Linked DNA regions of Lepisosteus oculatus. The protein of the gene in region 1 purifies or fractionates together with the protein of each later gene. This does not show direct contact. Links are inferred from orthologs where the notes say so. Each region holds a gene or a part of one and is shown on either strand. Other genes may lie near its edges.

Evidence for each region. The genes of interacting proteins can lie anywhere in the genome.
Region 2: the proteins of mettl9 (region 1) and slc39a10 purify together in Homo sapiens (co-immunoprecipitation; 3 studies listed by BioGRID and IntAct, with this or other methods). This does not show direct contact. The link is inferred for Lepisosteus oculatus from reciprocal best matches to the Homo sapiens genes METTL9 and SLC39A10.

The regions. Positions count from the first base shown.
Region 1 is NC_090714.1:16,660,266-16,664,983, reverse strand, and holds the start of mettl9 (protein-L-histidine N-pros-methyltransferase), read right to left. Parts: upstream 2,977-4,718; 5' UTR 2,886-2,976; intron 2,477-2,885; exon of another isoform or gene 2,328-2,476; intron 2,245-2,327; coding exon 2,089-2,244; intron 1,265-2,088; coding exon 1,074-1,264; intron 730-1,073; exon of another isoform or gene 464-729; coding exon 254-463; exon of another isoform or gene 1-253. UniProt on the Homo sapiens protein: Protein-histidine N-methyltransferase that specifically catalyzes 1-methylhistidine (pros-methylhistidine) methylation of target proteins.
Region 2 is NC_090707.1:10,323,558-10,328,275, reverse strand, and holds the start of slc39a10 (zinc transporter ZIP10), read left to right. Parts: upstream 1-1,472; 5' UTR 1,473-1,800; intron 1,801-4,718. UniProt on the Homo sapiens protein: Zinc-influx transporter. When associated with SLC39A6, the heterodimer formed by SLC39A10 and SLC39A6 mediates cellular zinc uptake to trigger cells to undergo epithelial-to-mesenchymal transition (EMT).

The sequences.
Region 1 (4,718 bases):
CCTCTACAGACTTGTCACCCAACAGTCCAGCTTGAAGTGTACACACGCCTCTTCCTTCCATCTCTTTCTGCATTATTCCTGAGCTGCCGTTTCAGTCACCGGACCTCTCCAGCTGGCTCTGTACAGCTCGGGTCGAGGCTCGGGGACCCGCCATGGTGACTGCACCGCTCTGTTCCTGAACCAGCTCCTCCCACTGCTCGCCTCACGGCCGACCACAGCCCGAGCTGCCGCGCGGACGGCCACCTGCTCTTACGTGTAGTTCCTCCGCTGCAGCTGCCAGGCCATGGGGGCCGACACCTCGGTGGCGTAGACCTCCTGGAAGTGGGGGCTCATGACCTCGGTGACCCCACCGTCCCCCGCCCCCAGGTCCAGCAGCCTGCGGGCCCTCCACTCCGGGGGGATCCGGAGGAGGCTGCGGAACTGCTCGGCGGAGAACACAAACATGGAGCCGCGGCCCAGGAACCTGGCCAGCGAGAGAGAGCGAGAGAGAGCGAGAGAGAGCGAGAGAGAGCGAGAGAGAGCGAGAGAGACGAGCTGAACCTCTGTCGTCTTGACCAGAGAAGACTGCAAGGGGACCTGATGCCTCAACAAAGCTGTGTGCTGATTGTGTTGTATGAAAATGCCCTGCGATGCGTTCGTGTCGTAAAAAGGTCTGTGCCGATCGTGTCCGGTCTGGCGACACTGTCATTCATCGGTCGTGCCAATAAAGCTGGTTGGATTGAACTGAAACGGAGCGGGAGGCACTTCTTCACCCCAGGGGAGGTGGAGGGGGGGGAGGGGTGGTGTAACGAGCCACACGGCTCAAGCTGGCGAGATCGTGGGTCCTCTGGGAGGGCTAGAGGGGCTCCTCTCGTCTAGAGGCCTTTCTCACGTCCTTAACGGCGAGGAGACAGCGAGCCGGGCAGGGTGGGCATGGCCGGGGTAGAGGGGGCGTGCAGACATGATCCTACACACGGCAGCTTCACAACACTGGAACCCTCAGCCCAGCACAGACACCGCGCCTGGCCAGGAGGGCGACAGGGAGATGGGGGGCGGGGGAGACAGAAGCCCGGCTGGCAGGAGGGCAGACGTACCCGTTGATGGAGGTGCGGGAGAGGAAGGGGCTGAAGAGGGTGGACATGAAGGAGTGGTAGAGCTGCATCAGGAGCCAGCTGGACTTCTCCTCGCTGCGGCTCAGGAAGGCGCGCGTGTCCTCATCCAGGCGGCTCTGAACGAAGGCGGGCCGGAGGGGCTCGCCCAGCAGCTCCGGGCAGCACCGGTACCACTGCGGAGACACCCGGGCCCAGACATCACCAACACGGCGCTGGCTCTCACAGGGCCCGCTCTCGTGCCGGGCACGACACCCCAGAACCCGGCCTGCGGGCCTCGGAGAGCAACAGCTCGGGTCACTGCGTCTGCCTCGCTTCCCAGCACCAGTGCAGCTGGCGCCGTGGAAACACGTCAAGCACGAAACCCTGCGAGTTTTAACACTTGCAAGATTCGAAATTACCGCCGGTGTGCCTTATTTGGCACCTGGCATGACCCTTGTGAACAGGTCCTGTGGCCTGATGAAGCCTCCTGCAGAGCCTGAAAAATCACAGCTTTTCAGAAGTCCCCAGGGGTGACACAGGCACAGGCCTCACAGCCAGGCTTCAGTCTCATTACTGCCCGTAACGCAAGGCTTGTCTTTTGCGTTTGGAGGAGAGGTGTAAACATTCAACCACACTTGGTGGTTGTGCCTCCCTCAGCCTGCTCATTCGAACACTTTCTTCCAATAAATGCATAATAATGAATATATAATGAATCACTGCAACTCCTACATTCCCAATCCCTCTCAAACCTGCTCAAGGGGGCGATTTAAAAATCTGCCAACAACACTGGTTGAAGCCCAACGCCGCCCTACTGGCATCTACTGTTAAAATAAAGCTAAAAAAAAAAATAGGAGTAAAATGAAACTTTACAAGGAAACGCCCAGGGTGTGGATAAACTAAGGAAAACAAAAGTACAACAACATGCACAACTTCACGCAAAGCTTAATTTGCTTAAATTAGCAAACAACTCTCTGCCCCCGTCCCCAGCCCCACATGTAGCCCACTGTCACCCCGGTACCTCCTGAGAGCCGTGCGGTCCCGTTTCGCTGGCCATGTTGACCAGCAGCGCCCTGGCCAGTGGACTCCTCAGGTATCTCCCGGTCCACATTTCCCGTATAACCAGCAGCGAGACGAAGTAAAAGAGCACCCAGACCGCAAACAGCAGCCGCCTCATCTGCAGACAGAAAGCAGACCGAGACTCAAAAACTAGAGTCCTCGACTCCTGCCAGACCTTCCGAGCAAGCAAAGCGTACCGACCTGTACATGCTGTTGGCTTTGAAAGGTGACATGTTGTTACTGGACCCTCCACTTCAACCGTAAACTAACTTGCTCGAATAAACCTTCTTTCAACAAGTAAGCCGGTGAATCTGTTCCACGTTTACTTCCTGTGTCACACTTAATTGCGTCCCCACCCTTTAAAGTTTCAAGTCTTATGCACTCACTGCATGAGCATTAAACGTTTTGCACGCATTTTCAGCGATTTTGTTTTTGCAGAACAGCATTTAAAGAATAAACAAGTTTAGTCTCAGCTGGCATTTTAATTACTACCACTTAGGTATGTTCATGTTATAACTGGAGATTTAATTTCACTTGACAAAAACTTCGACTTGAATAGATTGCGTTCCTACATCTTTACAATATTAATAAAGACCTAAATAATTCAGTTCCCATTAAATCACATGTAATTAAATCACGTTTCCACGAATCCTAGAACCGAAAGCGTCATTTCAGATCGAGTTTTTTTATAGAATTTTATTTTTAAATCTTTCAAACATTCATGAATACAATTAAAATACAAAACCATGAAACACTTACGGCTAAAAAACAGTAAATAAATGCTTTTTATTGTCCATTTCATGAGTTATACTTCTATCATTTCTGCAGGAGTATTGGTTTGATTGCAGAATGACCTTTGTACAGCAGCCCCAACAACAAACTGTATTTAACATAGACTTTCACCGACAGAGGTAGTAAGAGGAACATCCGGCTTCGGGTTAGTACAGGTATATACCGGTCACGTTTATCTTGTTTTATTTCAAGCCGTATTACACTGAAAATCTCAACCCCGAATTAAGATTACGGCTTTAAAAATATGAAGCACAGTGTGGGCAGGAGAATACAGTACAATGCAATGATCGCTCTGCAATGACTACAATGAGCCCCCCTGTGGTGTTGCAGAACACCTTGTTTTTCTCTGCGATAAACCTACACCTTGAAACTCCTCATTGCACACACTACACACGCAGAGCAGGCTGGGCCTCCAAAACTCCACCCGAGTTTGTCTCGTCAGGATCTTACATTTTGGTGGTCATCTTATGTCACCAACGTCTGTGTGTTTTTTTTTAATTAAATATTTTCTGCAGCACCCACTGCAGGTTAGCTCCCAAAATCCCAAGGCAATTATATAGCGAGCGACACAAAATTAAACATTTCCTGCAGAATTCATAATGAATATAGGTATATGTCTTCTGCATGTATTCACAGCTCACAGAATGAACACTAGAATTCATGTTATTGTCCTTACTTGGTACAAAGGAATGGAAGGTCATCATAAAATCTAATCAAATTCTTAAAAGTTTACCCCTATTTTCTGCAATTATACTGCAAATAAAATGAATATTTATCTATTATTTGTAATACAATAACCCTGTAATGATGCAGTGCTGTGTGAATTTGTCAGGCAATGCGATGTTCTGTATTCAAAGCAGCTCTTTTTCCCCTTTTTAAACAGGTTCTTCAATGGCATCTCTCACTGCTCCATTCTTGGTTTTGAGTCGTTTCCTTTCCCAGAGGTTGCTTTCACGGCACCGGACTGCTTGGCTGTTTCTCCTGGCTGGTGTTTTTCTCAGGGATCGCATGGCTCCCTGCTCTTCACACACTGCTGAGCGCTGATCCGCTGCCCCTGGCCTCGCTCGACACACTGGTCTCACTGTTCGTTCGCTCGAGACGACTCTGTAACCTGGGGCCCGGCCACGACTGCGCGGCCCCCCCCCCAGCAGGGACGGAAAAGGCACAGTGCAGGTGCAGCCACAGCCCTCAAAACTACTGGAGGACAGGCTGCTTGTGACCGCGCAGTCAAGAGCTGTGTGGAGAAGCACTTGACTCTTCCACGGGCTTCTTGTGCTTTAGTGCCACACAGCCCACAGAGTTCATGGGGACACGATGGGACCAGACACCAGCATTCAGAATCCTCAAGGGCATCGACAAAGCATTCCCCAGCAGTCACCAAGCAGAGCAGGCAAGTGGAAGCTGTGCAAACTAGTTTAAAACAGAGAACAGGAGCCACCTCTTTACCCAAAAGGTGGTGGGAGTCTGGAACAGGCCAGCCAGCTGTGCTGTTGAGGCCGGTACCCTGGCACCTCTCAAGAAGTGGGTAGACATGATCCTCCAATTAGAACAGGCATCACTTCTTTACTCAAAGGGTTGTAGGAGTGTGGTGCCAGCCACCCCAGCCATCTTGTTGAAGGCAGTACCCTGACTTCTTCCAAGAAACAGCTGGAAGAGATCTTCAGATCAGTTAGCTACTATCAAAAGGGCTAGATGGACCCAACAGCCTCTAGGCTTCTGTAACTTTTTGTACATTCTTATGGTATGCTACACACTGCATTACTTTCATTGGAGGAGCCCAATCCATCAACGTCGAGCTTC
Region 2 (4,718 bases), on another chromosome or scaffold:
TTTTAACCGCATTAGTGGCTAATTTCAGTACAGATGGCCTTACATTATTAACCTCATCCACAGTGTTCAACTTTCAACTGTTTGCTAATTAAATTTCTATTGTACAGTAGCACAAAGATGGTAATTAAAACAGTACAGCAGAGATATGCAGCATGTGTCTGCTAGGATTACACCTCCATGGAAATACACGTGGGAAGACAGTGAAATGGGGAAGGAGAGAGAGAGAGGCAGAGTCAAAAAGGAGGGAGGAAGGGTCTGACAGCAAGGGCAGAAAGAAATTGTGACCTTGACTACAAATCAACAAGTTTTACAGAGCTCTGTTTCTGACACTTTTTCTTGATAAGAGGTTGACAGCAGACACAGAGGTCAGAAGACAGCAGACACAGCCTATAGTGTCCGAAGTCCAGGATTTGACAGCCCAGCAGGTGTGTTCTACAGCATCTCTTTCATGCTCCTTAATACATGCCTGGATTTCGAATAGTTTTTTTTTAGACAACAGTAGCAAATTGCACTTATACTGTATCTGCAGTTTTTTTCCCCACATTTTGACACTGACATTTTTTTAACGTTTTCAATCTTTTCCCTAAAGACCCAACCTTTCCTCTCTCCTGAAAAAAAAGGAGATCAAAAATATTAAAAAACACTCAACAAAATAGTGACAGAAAACCAGGGTGAGTGAAGACCATCGCTGCTAACGTTCTGGTATTCTGTTTTCTTCGGAAAGACAATATATATAGTTCTGGTAAATACCAGCTCCAGTCCATCCCAGTGCATATCTTTGCTCCCTCCTAGATCTGTTATTGAACTCAATTGACTCGTTAATGATTTTAGCAAGAACTTTCAATGGCCTAAGCCCTGTTATGGTACAAAACATGGGTTTAGACATGGTGGGTGTTGCTGGAAAGTTTTGTTTCTACTGTTCCATTAGAGTCTACTGTAAGTAGGCTATTGGATATGCACGTAGATGTTCGTAATTTCTAATTTGTGTATTGATTTTGAAAAATGCGGTTTCATTTCATCACCAAAATACTTTGAATAGATGTATTTTAGAAATGCAATTCTGGAGGAAAACAAAGTGACAAGGAATTATTTTATTACTGATTATAGGGAAAAGTCGTTTTGATTTCTAACAAGCCCCGGAGGAAATTACGTAGGGAAATGCACAATTTCCTAAACAAATGTTAGGCTTCATCTAACTGTGCCTGCAAAACTAAATCATTGTTAATCCAGACGTAAATAAACCAATGTTTATGTGTTCTATTTTCTTTAAAACAGAGGAATAAACAGATTAAGCAAGGACAGTCTGGTGAAGTTCATTTCAATGACATAATTTCACACGCGGTTGTCAATATTTTCTCCCGATTAACTGGAGAGAGTTTTGACAACTCCCATCTCCTTCCTTTTATGCACTTGGCTTATCTGCCTGCGAAGTTTGCGTATGAATTCAACACAGCTCCGAGCTCACCTGACACTATATTCACAGAAAAACTGGCTTGCCGCTTCCTACTTAGAGGGGCAATGGTGAAATCATGAGCCTGCGTCATGACGTAAAAAAATGCAGAGAGCCGAGTAAGAAGAAAGCCATAACATGTCGCAGGTTCCGTGTGCCTTCCGTACCGCTACGAAGCGTAAATGACGTGAACTGCATTGGGGGAACAATCGGAGAACGCTCTACGAATTTAGCGCACTATCCTTTTGAGAATGCCCAATCCGCATACCCCTGTTGGCCTTTTGTGCGCGGCTGCGGATTGAATTTTTTGGTACCGAGCGAAGAGGAGATGCACACGGCACTCGAGTGAGGTAACTATATAAAAAACCCGATTTGTTTTCATTCGCTCTCATAACACGGAACCGGACAGCTAGTACATAACAACAAAGCTCAAGTGCCGTACTGGAATTAATAAAACACGGGAGTGGTTGAAGTTTTTTTAAGGGGTGTTTATCACAAAATTGCTGTTCGTATTTCTCTTTAGAACGAGATGAAGCCCGTTGAAATCCCGTATTGAATAAGGATGTTTGTGCTTTGGGTTGTTTTTACGCTTAAGCTGGCATCGGCAAAAGCAGTTTTAGCAGAACTGGGTAGCAAAACGGTACTTAAAACATTGGACAGTGGTATTTCAAACAATAGTAAAAAATCGTGTTTGGAAGAAAGGCGACGTTGTCTTTCATCACGTGTTGGTTAATACATGCTGAAGCTCGGCGCTTTAGCTTCCCTAAGTGCGTGTTTTTTCTATATAGAAATGCCACGAAGCGCCTAGTTTGTGCTTATCGTTTAAGTAGAAACAAATATTGATCAATTCCATGTTTTAAACACGTTTTAAATATGGCTAGGTTTTAAACGTCTGATGAGTGCTGTCTTCCTGTTATCACATGCGTTTAGGATGCTGTACTGTATGAGAGTTCAAATGTATATTTTACTACAGCACACGTAGGCGTATACTTTATAAAACCTTTTCAAAATTTTGACGTATGACCGTATGACCCTTTTGCGACAAATTATGTGAAGTCCGAATTTAAAATTGCTTCGAGGTTTCGTAAACTACTAATTCAGACGATTTGTGTCATATTCTTAATTTACTGCCCTTGCATATACATTCTTTCAAACATTAACATGAGTCAATAGCAGTGTCCCCCCGATTTATTCCATTAATTTTGTCCTTAACCTAAAAACCGAGATGAATAACGACTAGCTTCTTAGTGGCTTCCGGTAGGATCCACATTGTGAATTTTATACTGATTACTGAAGCAGGTCTCAAACTGTAAGAAATGTAGCACAAAAGAACGAGAATATATTCAGGGGTATGTGTTGACGTTTTGTATTTTTTGCATTCTGTTACTATTAGAACTAAAAACGTCCAGCATGAGATACAGAAGGGTTACTGGTTTCGGTTCTTCATCTGGTATGAACATTCATTTTGGTTTTGGTGTGATTTTTGTACACGGGGTTTCCATGTGATTAGTACGGTCTTTAAAGTGCTTTTACAGCATTATGAAAATAAGGTTTAAATTTGTGATTTTAATTAAAAAATGTCCAGATGTAGTGCAAAGAAACTACGATATCCTGGATCTTGACATGTCAAAATCCAAGGCTAAAGGTTATTGATTTATAGATCTGTTAGATCTATTGGAGTATATTGACCACTAGTATGATTTGAGTGTTATGAATATGTTTTTTAAACTACAGACAAATTATGATTTATAATTTGTGCTTCACAGTTCTGGGTGTTGTTATGTTTATCCTTACACAGTGATTTTTTATTTTCTTTGATTGTGTTTCTGTACTGCTTTATTTGTAAAGACGTTTTACCAAGGCCATTGGTGTTTCTTGGTGGCTTTGCAAAGTTCCAACATTGAAATCTTTTCTGTCTTAAAAAACGTACTCATCTGAGAAATTGTCCAAATACAGTATTACTACAGTATATTACTTCATGATATCTGTCCTTCCTGTAGGAGTTTACTCTTAAGACAGAGATTTTCTGAGACATTTTTCTGAGATGCTGTTAACTGCAAAATACAAATAAAATATTACTCTTTAGAATTAATTCCAACAAAAACATGTCAAGTGGAAAGCTTAATTCCCTCTCATCTCTTGAACAGCCCACCTTACATGTTATAGTTACAGTATCAGCTCACAAAAAAATAAATTAAATATTTAGGACTTAAGTTCATATAACACTGAAACCCTCCATGTACTTTAGCTTTCATAATTAAAAGAACAAGCTCTTTACAGACTGCCAAGTCATGCATACACTCATGAGGAAAATCTTTTCTGGCTTAATATCAAGATATTTTTTTTTTCCCTTGAAATGATATGCTGCCTAACTCGGACACATTAATGTCAATTAAATTATTGCTGAAAGTCTCAGTCTTGGTGATAAAATCAGTATTACATGGGGTTCAGTTGATGCTGGTGGGTAAAAAGAACAAGATACCACTGGGGAATGCACTGAGATAAGGAGGCATTTTATCAGAAATGTACAGCAGTCTCATCATAGACGAAAGGGTGAAATCTTCCTCTAACTTTTTCCTCCCAGGTAGGTGCAGCAGCGATCTATTCAGAATCCATGCCATTGTGTTGGAATCCACAACAGGGTTGTGGGAGTGTTGGAACAAACTACTCAGACATGTTTTTTAACCCGTTTTCCTTGAAGAAATGAACTACTAACTGCCAAATGGGTTAGATGGGCCCAAAGGCCTCCTCTTCATTTGTGATCTTTCTAGTATTCTTATGTAATGGGTATGACTGTGACTAAAAAGTCTGTACTTTTGGAGTCTTGAAATTTTCTTTCTTGCCTGAGTAGGACAGACTGAGGAGACACCCAGGCAGGGACAGCTTAGGGTCAGAGCGCAGGGTCAGCCATTGTACAGTGCCCCTGGAGCAGCTAGGGATAAGGGCCTTGCTCAGTAGGATTCCTGCCGGCCGTGGGATTTGAACCGGCAACCTTCCAACCACAGACGCAGATCCTTAGCCACAGAGCCACCGCTCCACCCCACATTTGGCACAGCATGCAATCTTCCTTAATTAAAAAAACACTTAAAAAGCAAATATGTATGCAAGTAAAGCCATAAAGCAAGGTCAGAATTACATGATTATCTCCTGCATACATCACATACTTTGTATTTATATTTATCTATTTTTTCCTTTTGTAGGGGGTGTGTTCTTTAGGTTTTAAGGTTTACAATAGAAACAAGTTGTGGGAATGAAAAATAAATGTTTT